Linked DNA regions of Notamacropus eugenii. The protein of the gene in region 1 binds, or shares a complex with, the protein of each later gene. Links are inferred from orthologs where the notes say so. Each region holds a gene or a part of one and is shown in the gene's direction. Other genes may lie near its edges.

Region 1 (7,973 bases):
AGGTTTTGTTCTTGACCTATTCCTCTCTAATTCATTTGAACAGAAGATACTATCCCCCACCAAAAAACCTTTGGAATTTGAAAATAAAAAAACCAAGTTTAAAATTTTAAATCCAGAGAATACTTGGCTATTTATTACAAGATAAGTCCTTGAAATGATCCTAAAGTGGTTCTGTTTGGCAAGCAGAAACTAAATTATGGGTACAAGAGATTTGGAATAGAGATGGTATCCCTGGAAGTAGGAACAGGGGTTTAAAAAATACACAAATGCAGATAACGGGCATACTCCATGACTTCAGTCTTAGATAGGTGTGGAAGGTTATAGCAGGTAATAATGAATTCTGTTTTGGATATGCTGAGGTTGAAATATCAGTGGGCCATTCTGTGGGAATTGGTGATGTGAAACTGGACCTCCAGAGAAAGATTATAACTGTAGATCCCCAATTGCCTCATCCTGGGTCATCTCCAGTCATCCTGATGAGTATCTGGTCACTGGATTCAGATGGCTTTGGAGGAGAAGTGAGGCTGGTGACCTGCACAACCCTGCCTCACTCAAAACAAAGTCAAGTGCACGTCATGTCATCATTTCTCTGATGGCATGGTCTTCTTCGGCAATGAAGGATGAACACACACATATAACTGTTGATCTAATAGAACTGGGAGTCATCTAGGTAGAAGATTAAACCTACGTAACCTAATAAGGTCACCGGGAATAGAACGCTGGGGTAGACCCATAATCAGAGCAAAAGATATGGATGATGACCCAGCAATGGAGACTGAGAATGAGACAAGTAAGGAAACCAAGAGAACAGTGTCATAAAAACCCAAAGAGCTATTAATTGGTCATTAATTATTTCAATTAACTTTTAGTTGACTCAATAGTTTAAAACTAGTTCAATTTCTTGCTTAGATTGGATTTTTTTCCTTCCCTTCTAAGAGTAGAAGAACAATGTAAGGAGCTCTCCCTTCCTATCAAGATGTTTCCTCCAACATACCTATCTGATTGCACAATAATGAATGATAATATGTGGAGATGGTGCAGTGAATAAAGTGCCAGGCCTGGAGTCAGGAAAAGTCACCTTGAAATCTGGCCTTAGACACTTACTAGCTGTGTGACCCTGTTTGCCTCAGTTTCCTCATCTGTAAAATGACATGACTGAAAATGACTGAACAATTACAATAATGTATAGAAATAGAGAATGGGTCTTATTCAGGAAGAAATTTGTCCCAGGTTTAGGCACAATATAAATTATTTCTATTGTCTGCTAAAATGTTGACATAATCTCTCCCTTTGGAGCAGATTAGAAACTTTTACAGAGGTAAAAGTATGAAAATAAGAAATATTCCCTCCAGAAACTGAAGGAAGGAACGTTAGGCATATAGATGTACTTTCCTAGTATTGTGACTAGATGATTTCAAGCTGGGAAGGAAAGAGGCCTCTTCACTGAATGGGCGCTACCACCCTATAAGTGATTACCTGGAAAGGCCTAGCCTAAAAGACCAAGGTCTCCCATTGCATCCTGGGCCATCTCCAGTCATCCTGATGAATATCTGGTCACTGGACCCAGATGGCTCAGGAGGAGAAAGGGAGGCTGGTGACCTTGCACAGCCCTCCCTCACTCTTTTTCAGAGGTTCAGTAGAGAAAACTTAACATTTTTTTCTTTTGTTTTAGACTACATTTGGACAGGCAGTTTTTCTGGTGTATTTCCTTTATTAATGAAGTTAGTTTCTTTCCAATCACTTCAGCATGATTGAATGCCTGAGTAGGTGTATCTGTTGTGCTGTTGGGCCCATTTTGAGTACAAAGGATTCTTCCATGATGCATTATGGATGCTGCATCCTTAGAATGTTGGTGCATCTAAAGCACATTACAGGAACTAACCTGGTAAGTCCCAGCAGGTAGTGGAGACCACCAATCTCAAGGGAGACATAGAAAGAAGCATTCTAACCAAGAGGCAGCTTCAATAAGTAAGACCCCTGGCAGCAAAGAAGAGAGCTAACTGGATTCAAGGGAGAAGTAGCCCTGTAATCTGAGAGTTTAGCAGTGGAGAGGAAGAGACCCAGGAAACCCATGGAGTAGTTCACTCAGCAGAGATGTTTTCTCTAACAGGGAACAGTATGAAGAATCCACAAAGATAAAAAAGAATTTCGATCCCTGCATCACAAAAGTCACGAGTTTTCCTGCCTACACATATTCCCCATGTGTGTACCTCACCGTGTAATTTGTTCACATTCTTCCCTCTGTGTGTAATTGTGGAAGGTATACCACAAGTTTGTGTGGGGAAATGTTTTATAACTACTATTTTTACTGTCACCTTAGGAAAGCTCACCAATGTGTACGCCTGAGTTCTTTTAGGAACATGGATCCACCAGGTGCCCCTAGAATCTGAGAATATTTTCTTCCCTCTGAGGAAACAACCAGCGTATAAATGCAAGCTAGGAAATTGGCCCAGAGGGAGTGCTATCTATGTTTCACTGTATTGAGAAATATGAGTAAGAAGCTACATATAGTTTTTCAAGTTGTTAGCAGAGTAATCAACTTTATTAATAAGTACATTAAAAGGATTTTATAAATTGTGTGACAACATGAGAACAGAGCATAGGTAACTTCTACATTCCTCTAAAATACTTTTGGCTTTCTTATGTATGTCAGTGTTTGAGCTAAGAGAAATTACCATTTTTCTTCAGTGATGATATAGATACAACAGATTCATTTTATGACAAAAATATTCTCCTTAAACTTGTACATTTGGTGAATATTTTTGAAAAATGGTACTCACAAATAAATCAGTGCAAGGTCCTCTAACTCATATTTCAATCCAGAAGAATAAAATTACTGGCCACTTATGAAATATTTGGACAGCTAGGTGGTAGAGTGGATATGATGGGGTGATGAGACCTGGACCCCTAAAAGGAAAAGACTACGTCTTTGAAACCTACAGCCCTTGCCAGCAGGAAGCCGTTTCCCTCAACTTTCCCACACAACTCAGTCCCTAGTGTTGGCCTGAGACATCTGGCCCATCTCGGTACACCTAGATGCTCAATAATCTTTTTAACTGTGGCTCTCCCATCACTTAACTCCTTACATTGTCTGCACCTGGACCACCCCAGGCTATTTAACACTCCTTTATCCCATCTAGATCTTCTCACTGTCTTTTCTTGCATATAAGTACCAATTTATGCGCCACCCCCCTTAAATTTCGTAGATTCACTTTGAATCCAGCTCAATTCTACTGGCTCACAAATAAAGCTTTGATTGAAAGAAGGCTTGAGCTGTCAAATTCTGTTAAGGCAGACCTGCTATGCCCTTGCATTACAAGGTTCTCAGCACCCCAAACCATAACGTATTGACCACCAAGGCTGGAGTCAGGAATATGTACTATCTGTGTGACCCTAGGTAAATCATTAAACCCTAGGTTTGCCTCACTTTGCTCATCTGTAAAATAAGCTAGGGAAAGAAATGGTAAACCAACTCCAGCATCACTGCCAAGAAAACCCCAAATGGGATCACGAAGAGTCAGACAGGACCAAACAACAACTACCGTGTACTTTAATATGTGGCACAGTGCATAGAATCAGGAAGGCTCATCTTCCTGAGTTCAAATCCAGCCTCAGATACTTCCATGGTGTGTGACTCCGGGCAAGTCACTTTAACCCTGTTTGCCTCAGTTTCCTCATCTGTAAAATAAGCCAGAGAAATAAATGCCAAATCAGTCCAGTATCTTTGCAAAAAAACCCTCAAAAAACCAAACCCAAACAGGGTCACAAAGAGTCAGCCATGACTGAACAAGAAAACAGAGATATAAAAAAAAAATTTATAAAATATTTTTGTTTCCCAACTTTAAAACGCCTGCCTTGCAAATGAAATAAAAAAATGATCAACTTATTAATCTCTCATTAATCATTTGATCAATATGAAGAAACAACACATTATTTTAAAGCCTTTGGGATTCTGGATGAAAATAATGGATAATGAAACCATTTGCTATTTACAAAGAGGATACATTTGTTCTTACTCCATCAGAACAAGAACTTCTGAAATCTTATGATTTAGCCACGGGTAAAAAAAGAATTATCTGGTATATTAGGCAAAGCAATGCAAATTTTACTGCAGTTTGCAACTTTTTATTCATATGAAATAGGGTTTTTGGCTACAGTTTGTTTCAGTAACAAGATATCTCTCCAGGAGTTCTTGGAAAAGATTTACTAGTAGCATTATCACCGTGAACACCAAGTTTCCTTTTTTTTAACTGAAAAACAAGCCTCCCGTTAATCAGGTGAATAGCATTTTAAGTTTTGTTGTAAAATGAACTGTATGGATCCTGATTCATAAAGGATCCAATCAGCTTTGTGCTACCATTTTATTGAACATTTAGGATTTGTTACATAAAAATTGCAATAAATTCTTAATTCTGTCTGAATAAAAGATGGAAATCGTATTGTATTTCCACACACTGCTTTATGAAAGGCGAGGGCATAAAACCGTAAAGGGACACAATAGGGAAAACAGCACCGTGGGGGGTCCGCGTGGGAGGTGACCCGAGGACCCGCACCCGCTGTAGGGGCTCATCAGGGGGTCTGTGAAATTGCTTTTTAAAAATATTCTAGTCACCGTGTTTCAGGGGAGGCGGCTTCGGTGGCCAGGTTATGCATCTTGAAAACCCTGTCCAGAGAAGGGATCCCCCGGCTTCGTCCGGACGCTTCCAGGGCACACAAAGGGTTAAGCGCCGCGGGCGCGGGGAGGCTTGGGCGTGGGAAAGCTGACACGACCATCCCCCACCAGGGACCGCACCGAGCCAGTCTAGAAACCAAACGCATTTTGTGCCTGCGGGGTCACCGTCCGCCTTCCCTTAATTACGAACCGGAAGAGAAATGCCCAGTCCAGAAGCGAGAAGGCAGGGGGCGGTGCTGCGCACGCGCAGCAGCGCATCTCTCTCCCCTCCCCCTTCCCTTTCCCCGCGGAGGGTGCGCACAGTTACTCCTCTCCGTGAAGCCACAGCGGGGCTAGGGCCATGCTGGGGAACTACAGCCGCGGCCCGGCCCGGGCGAGCACCAGCCGGCAGCGGGACTCGCTCCCGCCCGCCCCGCGAGAGGCGAGCGGCTGTCGGACCCCGCAGCAAAACCAGGGCATCGACGACCGGGGCGATGGCGAGGCGGCGGACGACGAGCCCTGCCCGGCCCCCGGAGGCTCAGAGCCGAACTTGGAGACGGAGGGCGACGACGGCAAGCGGCGCCTGATCCGCCATCAGTACCGCGAGCTCATCCACAACGTGCAGCGTGAGCGGGGAGCGGGGGAGGGGCGGCAAGGGGGGCGGGGCAGCCTCCTCTGACCTCCGGCTGTGCCTTCTGTGCTTAGAGCCCCCCTGCTGGGTGCGCCCCCGTGGGTGCCCCCCTGCTGGGTGCGCCGAGGAGCGCTTTACAGTGAGGGTTTCACGAGCCTCACCACCGCTTTGGGAGGGAGGGGCTGTTGATCTCGGAGGAAACTGAGTCTGGCAGGTGAAGAGACTGGCCCAGGGTCCCACGGCTAGGCTGGATTTGAATTCCGGACCTCCTGACTCCGGCTCTCCACCGCTTTCGCCACCCAGCTGCCCCTCTCCTGAATCCCTCTAATAATAATGGCAGCAGCCCACATTTAACTTGTGCAGCATCTCCTCTGCCTCCCCGGCTCTGTGTGTTATCCCCACATCTGCTCCGGGAGCGCTTTGCACGCTTGATAGTTTCTCTTCGGACTGTTTAAAGAGCGGGGTGCTGCCTATCTTGTCATTTTATCATTATTTTGTCGTTATAATTATGAATTGGTTGAGATGTTCATGGCTCACCGTAGGCAACTAGAGGCAGGGGGCACAGTGGACAGAGCTGCCCTCTGAGGCTGGAAGACTGGTTTCGAGCCCTCCCTCGTACACGCAGGCTGTGTGACCCTGGCCAAGTCATTGTCAGGGTCCCAGAAACCCTCAGAGATTAAAAGTTGCAGAACAGTTAGTCTGCATTGGGAGAGGAAGTTTCTTCACCGGAGAGTTCCTTACCAGCTTTAGACCATGTGCAAATCATGCCTTGAATGGGTTTCTTTCAAAGTATCCTCAGAGGAAGTTTGCCCTGATTTTACATTTGTAGAAACTGAGGTGGAGGATGAGTAGCTTGACCAAGATCACAAGGCCAGTAAGTGCAAGACTTGGATTAGAACTCAGCTCTTCTGGTTCCAGATCCAGTCCTCTTAACACCCCATACAGCCCTCTTTCTGTAGTTTAGTTGTATAAAGAGAAGCTCACGAATTATGGAAAAAACCAACAGGTTGGGAAGAGAAAGGTGTAAGGGATTCCAGACTCTTTTTAAAGCACTAAACTGTCTTTATCATGTGAAATTTTTTGACGATAATTCTCGAAAAGGTGGGGAGCAGGACCTTTGGAAATACTTGCTGTTGATGTTGCTTTTTGACAATAATGTATTAAAATTTCAGTTTTCTAAAGTATGTATTTTTAAAATAGAACAACGGGAAGATATGTTGAGTTCAAAAAGCAACAAATTAACAGATGCACTTGAACAAGCCAACCAGCTGTTTAACAGAGGTAAGTGATAGTATTTAGTAATTTCTAGTTTTAAACTTAACCAGGAATATTAGGGTGACTCAAATTGTTGGGCTTATGGCTAGATTTAAATTGCTGACATCAAATTTGTGCCTTAGAGAATTTTGTAAGGAGGGGTTAGTTGTTTTAGTTATCTGAGTTGTAACGTCTTTCAGTATTGTTTTTCTCTGTCATTTTCTGCATTCTCTTCATTTAGCTTACTTTGCTCTTCATCATTTCATGTATTTCTTTACGAGGTTTTATGGATTCTTCTGTCATCATTTCTAATAGTGCAGTAACATCCCAATACTTTACTTTTATTTTTTTTTTAATACTTTCCTTTACCCTGGTCTCTTCAACTATTCACCTGACATTGATTGAGGCTTCAGTCTTTTTGTATTCACATCACCTGAGGCAGCTAGGTGGTGCAGTGGATAGAGCACCAGTGCAGGAGTCAGGAGGACCTGAGTTCAAATCTCTCCTCAGACACTTGACACTCTCTAGCTGTGTGACCTTGGGCAAGTCACTTAACCGCAACTGCCTCATCCTCGATCATCTCTAGTCATCCTGATGAATATCTGGTCACTGGGTTCAGATGACTCTGGAGGAGAAGTGAGGCTGGTGACCTGCACAGCACTCCTTCACTCACAACAAAGTCCAGTGCACAAGTCATGTCATCATTTCTCTGATGGCATGGTCTTCTTTGGCAATGAAGGACGAACGCACATTCACATCACCTAGTATAGTACAGTACAGCAGCTACTCAGTATATGTTTATTTGTAGTAGTAATCATGATTGGATAGGGGGTAGGAGGAGATAATCAAAGATGTTGTGGCTCACTCCTTTCGGTGTGTTCAATTCTTCATGACCCCATTTGGGGTTTTCTTGGCAAAAGAACTGGAGTGATTTGCTATTGCCTTCTCCATCTCATTTTACAGATGAGGAAACTGAGGCAAGCAGGGTTAAGTGATTTGCCCAGGGTCACACAGCTATTAAGTGTCTGAGACCAGATTTGAACTCAGGAAGATGAGTCTTCCTGGCTCCAGGCCTGGCCCTCTAGGTTGCCATAATCAGAGATGACTAAGGTTTAATTAGGACTTAATGACTGAAAAAAGAATCACATTAACAGAAATGGAGAAAAGAGGAAAAGAGTTTTGTTTTGGTAAAGAGGTAAGAGTTCTGTTTTAGTAAATTCAGTTCAAAAAAAAGGTTAAACATCTGTTCTGCGTAAGACAGTGTATGAAATGATAGACATGTAGAAATAAAAATGAAAGAGTCCCTTCAAGGAGTTTAAACACCATGTACACAAGTAAATAGAAATTAATTTAAAAGGCAGCAGAGTACAGTGAAAAGGACACTGACTGTGGACACAAAGCACCTGCGTCAAATGCCATTTTTGACAGGTATTTTCT
Region 2 (7,490 bases), on another chromosome or scaffold:
CCAAATATGAACTCAGAAAGATGAAACTTCCTGACTCCAGGACTGGCACTCTATCCACTGTGCCATCTAGCTTCCCTCCTTGAAGATAGAGACTGTCTTTTGCTTCTTTTTCTATTCCTAGAGTTTAGCATAATACTTGGCAAATAGTAGGCATTTAATAAATCTTCAATGACTCACTGACTGAATAAATGCTTGTTGACTGGAAAAAATGGTGGGGGGAAGATTTTTCTTTCTTCTACCTAAAATTAAAACGTTGATTATTTGTCTGCTGTGGTTAGAATTTGTCAGTAAGTTGTGAGCTTGTTTCAATTCTGATATTGATAGCTTCTTGCTACTTTTTTTGCTGATGGAAAAACTTAAAAATATAAAACTGATATGCAATAGCAACTTATTTACATTACAACAATGTAACTGCTAATAATAAATAACAATTCTCTGTCATAGATATTTCCTATGTAACCAATGTACTGAATTTCCACAAGTAAGCATTTATTTATTCAAATCAGTAATCTGAATCCTCATTGTCAGCTGAAAGCTAGTCCTAAACAGGTTACTTAGACTCCTAAAGGGCTATGTTTAGGATTTTCTTTAAAGATGACAAATTACTCTGCAACCTCTCCACAAACACAGATAATTTTTACAAGGGATTAAAAAGTTTTAATGTCTTCTAAACTTAGTCTTAACTCTAAGGGGCAGCAATAATATTCTGCTCCTCAAGAAAACTTTGCTGTTTGCTAGGGATGGGGAATAATCCCAATGATTAGTTTCCAAAATTGTAGAAGAAGTCTTTACTATTATATGTATGCTAACTGGAATGCAAACACCCTGCTAAATGAAGGCTACCACAAAATCACCCAACTGTTCTGACTGGGTCCACAACAAATTTATGTCACATAACTTCAACTGGGTCCTCACTGTTGCTAGGTAAACTTACCATATCTCCCTTATGAACTCACTATCCCACTCTCCAGAGACTCTTTCAAACTTTATTATCCCTCCTCAAGCCTACCATGGCTTCCCTTCACCCATTCTTTCGTCTGAGAATCTTGCCTCATGTTTTACAGAAAAAATTGAGTACATTTGCCCAATTACTTCTTTTCCCCTCTTCCTCATCTCTTATCAAGTGCTTTCTGCAACTGTCTCTCCATCACCCTTGTCTCACATGATGAAGTGCTCCTACTTCTTACCAAGACTAAGCCCCTCTATTTACTTGTTCAAGTAATCCCATTCCAACCTTCTAATCCTATTCCAATTCCTCTAAGGGACTGTCCCCGATGTCATCCCCACTCTCACTTATTTTCAATCTCACTCTCTCTACTGGCTCATCTCCTACTGCCTATAAACATGCTCATGTCTCCCCACCCGAATCCTTCCATCCCTAAGATACATAATTTTATATTTCTTCTGTTTTCTGTACTTAACTTCTCAAAAAAACCTTCTACAAAAGGTGTCTCCATTTCCTTTCCTTTCACTCTCTTCTTAATGTCTTACAATTTGGGGTTCCAACCTTATCATTCCACCAAAAATGATCTCTCCAAAGTTACTAATGATTCTTAACTGATGAATCCATTGGCCTTTTCTCAAATGTCATTCTCCTTGACCTCTCTGCAGCTTTTGACGCGGTCGATCAATCCCCTTCTAGTCCTCAATGCTCTCCTCTCTCTAGGTTTTCATGATACCACTCTCTCCTGGTTTTCCTTTGACCACTCCTTTGTATCCTTTACTGGATCCTCCTCCAGACAATGCCCACTAAGTACAGGTGTCCCTCAGCATTCTACCTTGGGCCCTCTTTTCTTCTCCCTCTGTTACTTCATTTGGTGATCTCATCAGCTCCCATGGATTTAATTACCATGTCTATGCTGATGATTCTCAAACCAACCTTCCAATCTTGCATCTCCCGCTGCCTTTCAGATATTTCAAACTGGATGTCCAGTAGACACCTTACATCCAATACATTCAAAATAGAACTCACTATTCCCTTCCCCCTCCTCCCCAAGCCTTCCAGGCCTCCTACTTTCCATATTACTATTGAGGGCAATACCACCCTCCAAGTCTCTCAGGTTCACAACCCAGGAGTCATTCTCGAACCCTCACTATCTGTCACTCATATCTAATCTGCCACCAAGGCTTGTTAATTTCACTTTTGTAACATCTTTCAAATATACCCCCTTCTTTTCTCTGACGCTGCCACCACTCTGGTACAGGTCCTCATCACCTCAGACCTAGAGTGTTGAACTGGCCTGCTGGCAGGTCTGCCTGTCTCAGGTCTGTGCCCACTCCCAGTTCATTCTTCATTCAGTCACTAAAGTGATTTTCCTAAAATGAAAGTGTGATCATGTTACTCACTCCCATGCCCCCTGATAAACTCCAGTGGCTTCCTATTGACTCTAGAGGCAAATACAACATGCTCTGTTTGGTGTTCAGAGCCCTTCACAACTCAGATTTCTTACACCTTACTCTCCTCCATATAGTCTCTGATCCAGTAACACTGGACTCCTGGCTGCTCCACAGACAGGACATTCCATTTTCTGGGTTCAGAACATTCACTCTGGTTGTCCCTCGTGCCTGTTTTGCTCTCCCTCCTCCAATTGGACCTTTCTCACTTCCTTTTAAGTTACAACTAAAATTTCACCTTCTCCAGGAAGCATTCCCCAACTCCTCTCAATTCTAGTGTTTTCCTTTTGCCAATTATTTCCTATTTGTCTTATTTATGTAGCTTGCTTTGTATATAATTGTTTGCATACTGTTTCCCTATTAGATTGTGAGCTCTTTGAGAGCAGGGCCTGCCTTTTGCCTCCTTTTGTGTCTCCACTGCTTAGCACAGTGCCTGCCACACATTAGACACTTAACAAAATGTTTACTGATTGACAGTATGATTTCGTGGAAACAGCATGAGATTTAGAGTCAGAGTATTTGCATTTTAATTTTGGCTGTAATATTTACTACCATAGGGACCACGGAAAAGTCACTATTGTCACGTTAACTTATACCTCTACAAGACTGTTTTCCTATCTGTAAAATAAAAGGAATTGAACTAAATGATCTCTGAAGTTCATTTCAGCTCTCAGTTCTATGATCCTAAGTGTCCCTTAATCTATATGTTTTTCCTAAGTCCTAGAAAAGTATAAAAAAGGTTTTGTTTATTAATTGGCATGTCGTCCAATAATTTTCAGGATGGGAATTAACACTAGAAAGAATGTGATTGTACTTCAAACAATAAAAGGACTCATCACACCCCTCCATAAGCAAGCCTAGAAATGTGAAACAGCCTTTGGAAAACCCCTGTATTTTATCTTACTTTGGGACCCAAAGTTGCCCAGTCTTTACTTACACATACATACACACACGCACCCTGAAAACAAACCTTGATTCTGCGGTATAACAACAAGAGTCACCACAGGGGTGCTTCAAACCTGGAAAAAGAAGTATCTGTGTGCGGCTAGGCACCTGATTATACCACCACCTTCGTACAAGTTTAGTACTGTATCGAGTCTCCAAGCTATCCTTCCTACGTCTGGGCCTCAGTTTCTTTCATCCGCACTTACAACTAGGAAATATTCCAGTTTAGAGTGCGAACCACAGGGCTCAGAGCTCGAAGGGCCATTTGCTTTTCATTTTCTAAACAAGGAAACTGAGGCCCAGCACAGGGAAATGACTCGCACACCCGGGGAACCGCAGGAAACCGAATCCCACGCCAGGGCCCCGCTGGATAATCACGAGATCCCCAAGGCTCCCTCACCTTCTCACATTCGCCCAGGCACGCAAGGCGGGCAGGGGCTGCCCTCCTCCTTCCCCCGCCCCTCATCACCAGGATGCTCACCCTGTCCCAGGGGCTCCAGCCTGAGTCACTGGTCCCAGGTACCACGGGCCCCCGGGGAGCAGGCACGGTCTTCCTTCCTTCCCAGCTCCTCCCGCCGGGTCGTGGACCCGGCTCTCCCTCAGTCACCTGCCACGGGGCCAGGCCCTGCTCCAGGGCCGAGGTCTGTCTCTGCTTGTCCCGGTCTGGGGGGGCAGGAGGAGCGGTGGGGGGGTCGGCGCCCTCCTCGCCCGTCACGGCCGGCGGCCGGTGCCTGACAATTTCCCCTCGGCCCCCCACCCCAACCGAAGGCCCCAACCAACCCCCTTCCCCAGCCTCGGAGCCACTACGGTTGTCACATGACTAGAATGGGATGGAACAGGGTGGAGCGCGGAGGCGGGACCAGGAAGGGTCACGTGAACAACCACGTCCAGAAGGAAAGGGAGTAGGTGAAGGCCACCACGTGACTAACTTATGCCCCCCCCCCCGGCGCCCGGTGATGACGTATGTCAGCGCCTAGTGATGACGCGAGATCGGCGCCAGTTCCGCGCTGGTCTCCATAGGGATCAGAGAGAGGCGGCATCCAAAGTTTGGCCGGAGGCTTCTGACTGAGGCGGGTTCCAGTGTGGGCCGGCCGACCGGACCAGGTAAGGGGCCCGGCGCGGGTGGAGGTGGGAAAGGACCTGTTGACCTGTGAGTTATGTCCTTCCGGGGAAGACCGTGGAGGTACTGACCTGGACTCGATTCCGTTTCCACCAGCGTTTTGTTCAGTGCGTAGCTTGTGACAGGAGCCTGGAGGGGGTAGGTGCCCTCTAGTCCGGACCCTCATTGCCCAGGTGGGGCAACTGAGACTCAGAGGGTACACGATCGCCTAGTATTGATAATCAGCATTTAGGTCGCTTTCAGGATTTTTAAAAAACATTTAAAAAATGAACATAAACATCTTTCCCACATGAAGCAAATAAAAAGAAGCCCACAGCCTTAAAAACCCAATCCTGGCTGCGGAGCCCGAAACGCCGTCCCACGCTGGCCGTGCCTGAGAGGTGTGTGCGCCCTTGCGCCTTGGGGGCCTCCCCAGCCGTGTCGGGGTGCGCCTGACCGCTGCGCTGAGCGCCGCTCTGCAGTCGGCCCGGGTTTTGTACGTGATCCTGGTTCCGCTGAGTCCATTTTTCCCTGGATCTGTTTCAGCATTTCTCTGTGGCACAGGTTTGCCAAAGACTTCACAGTCGCCCCCACGACGTGGGTAGCCCCGCTTTGCACAAGTCCAGGAGCTTGCCCAGAACCCCAGTTAGTAGTAGGGGAGGGGCGCTTTGATCTCAGGGTCTCCGTGCTGTCTCTCTCTCTCCGTCGCTCGTTTTCTCTTCCTCCTTCTTTGAGCGGGTGTGTGTGTTTGGAAGGAAGGGGAATATTCGCTTCGGGTCTAATTGTGTATACAAATGTATCCACTTAAAACATGGAAGGCATAATCTTGCTCCCTTTTGTACCACCTTACTCCGGGGAGGGAAAGGGTTTAGGTTCACAGTTAGCTCGTTGGAGAGATAACAAAGTTTCTCCAGAAGTTATTATGAGTGGATGACATCATTGAGAATACTTCAGATAATAAGAAGGCCTGCAGACTGCAGGTGGGCTCAACCAATTGGAGTGGCCTTCAGAAAATTACCAAGTTTTTGATAAAGGAACCAAATCTACAGCTAGCTGGAACTAGCCAAGAAAAAGGACCTGGAGAAAACTTTTCTTCACTGCGCTTGCTTAAGGAGCCTCATGCATAGAAGCAGACACACCCCGCGTGAAATTATCCCTCCCTTTTCTGATCATGGGTCCTGTGTTAAAGCATGTTTGGGAGGGGATCGCAGCAAGGGTGGTTACTTAATGGACATGTAGGACAGACCAGTCCATCTCCTGGTGGGAGGATCTGTGCATACAGCAATACCACTTCTAGTTCTGTATCCCCAAGAGATCATCAGAATGCGAAAAGGACCCACATGTACAAAAATATTTATATTAGCTCTTTTTGTGGTAGCAAAGAAGTGGAAATCGAGGGAAATGGCTGAACAAGTTGTGGTATGTGAAGGTAAAGGCATACTATTGTTCCATAAGAAATGATGAGCAGGTGGATTTCAGAAAAACCTGGAAAGACTTAAAGGAGCTGATGCTGAGCTGAACCTGGAGGGCGCTGCATACAGTAAAATTGTGCAATGACCAGCTGTGATAGACTTAGCTCTTCTCAGCAACTTAATGATCTAACGCAATTCCAAGACTGAAGATGGAAAATGCTATCCACATCCAAAGAAATAACTTGGGTCTGAATGCATATTGAAGCATACTAGTTGCTCTCTTTTTTTTGTTTGCTTTTCCTTTTTTTGTGGTTTTTCCTTTTGGTTTTGATTCTTCTTTATAACATGACTGATGTACAAATATGTTTAATATGATTGTATATGTATATATCAAATGAAATACCATCTTGAGGATGGCAGAGGAGAGGGAGGGAGAAAATTTAGAACTCAAAATCTTATAAAAGTGAATGTTGAAAAGTAAAAATAAGTAAAAAAATGGAACATAAAAAGGCTTATCTTGTAGGAGATGGAAACATGTTTCTGTGTAATAGAAAATTTTATAGATTTCTATCTGTATTTGGAGCATACTCAAGCATTTATTAAGTACTTACAGTGTGCCAGGCCCTGTACTAATTTCTGCAAATGCAGGGGGGAAAAGAAACCAAACTGTTCCTATCCTCAAGAACTTCCTGTCTATTCTAGTGGAGGATGGGGACAACAGACTAGCAATTCTGTACATAAAAGGCATAAACTGTGGAAATGAGAGGTAATCTCAGAGAGAAGGCATTTGCTGTGGGAGGTGGTGTAGAGAGTGGGAAAGCTGGGGAAATGCCTTTTAGCAAGTGGAATTGAACATGGGTTTTTAAAGAAGCTTTGGAAGCCAGGAGAAAGAACATTTGGAGATGAGAAAGAACATTCCAGGATACAGGGTTGTTGTGCGGAACAGTAAAAAGCTTGATTTGGCAGGATCTTTGATTGTAGTACTGTGTAAAATGGGGTGGAGCTAGGTTGTGAGGGGCTTTTAAAGCCAGACAGATCTGGAGGTAATAGGGTGCCCCTGGAGTTCATTAAATGGAGGTTAGGGTTAGTTATTGTGTTGCTTCAGGCACGTGTGACTCTTGGTGATCCCATTTGGGGTTTTCTTGGCAAAGATACTGGGGTGGTTTGCCTTTTCCTTCTTCAATTAATTTTAAAGATGAGGAAACTGAGGTGATATGCTCTGGGTCACACAGGGTTCTTCCTGACTCCAGGCCCAGCACTCTATCCACTGTGCTACCCAGCTGTCCAGGCTTAATTGAGGCTCTCATGTTTGTTGTATTGAGCATAAACATTGAGTCTGACCATATTTTGAAATGACAACAACAAAGCTTTGTACAGATGAAAAAGAAGGTGGAAGGAGTAACAAAATAAGCAACTTATTTTATTTTTATTTTTCATTATTAAATTTCATTATTTTAATTAAAATTTTTTTTATCTTCTTAGTTACTCAGACATGCAGTTTTGATGTTATTCTTGACTCTTCACTTGTACCCACCTCACATGTCTAATCTTTCACCAAGTCTTGTCTTTTCTATCTTCACACTCTTCTATAGGTTCCCTTCTGTTTGCTCACATAGCTGCCACTCTGGTACAGATCCTTA

The links.
Region 2: NSMCE4A (region 1) and NSMCE2 share a complex: the UniProt entries of both Homo sapiens proteins name them as parts of the SMC5-SMC6 complex. The link is inferred for Notamacropus eugenii from reciprocal best matches to the Homo sapiens genes NSMCE4A and NSMCE2.

What each region holds. Positions count from the first base shown.
Region 1 is NC_092872.1:202,579,532-202,587,504, reverse strand, and holds the start of NSMCE4A (non-structural maintenance of chromosomes element 4 homolog A), read left to right. Parts: upstream 1-4,879; 5' UTR 4,880-5,012; coding exon 5,013-5,277; intron 5,278-6,482; coding exon 6,483-6,563; intron 6,564-7,973. UniProt on the Homo sapiens protein: Component of the SMC5-SMC6 complex, a complex involved in DNA double-strand breaks by homologous recombination. The complex may promote sister chromatid homologous recombination by recruiting the SMC1-SMC3 cohesin complex to double-strand breaks.
Region 2 is NC_092875.1:118,918,501-118,925,990, reverse strand, and holds the start of NSMCE2 (E3 SUMO-protein ligase NSE2), read left to right. Parts: upstream 1-4,227; 5' UTR 4,228-4,443; intron 4,444-7,490. UniProt on the Homo sapiens protein: E3 SUMO-protein ligase component of the SMC5-SMC6 complex, a complex involved in DNA double-strand break repair by homologous recombination. Is not be required for the stability of the complex.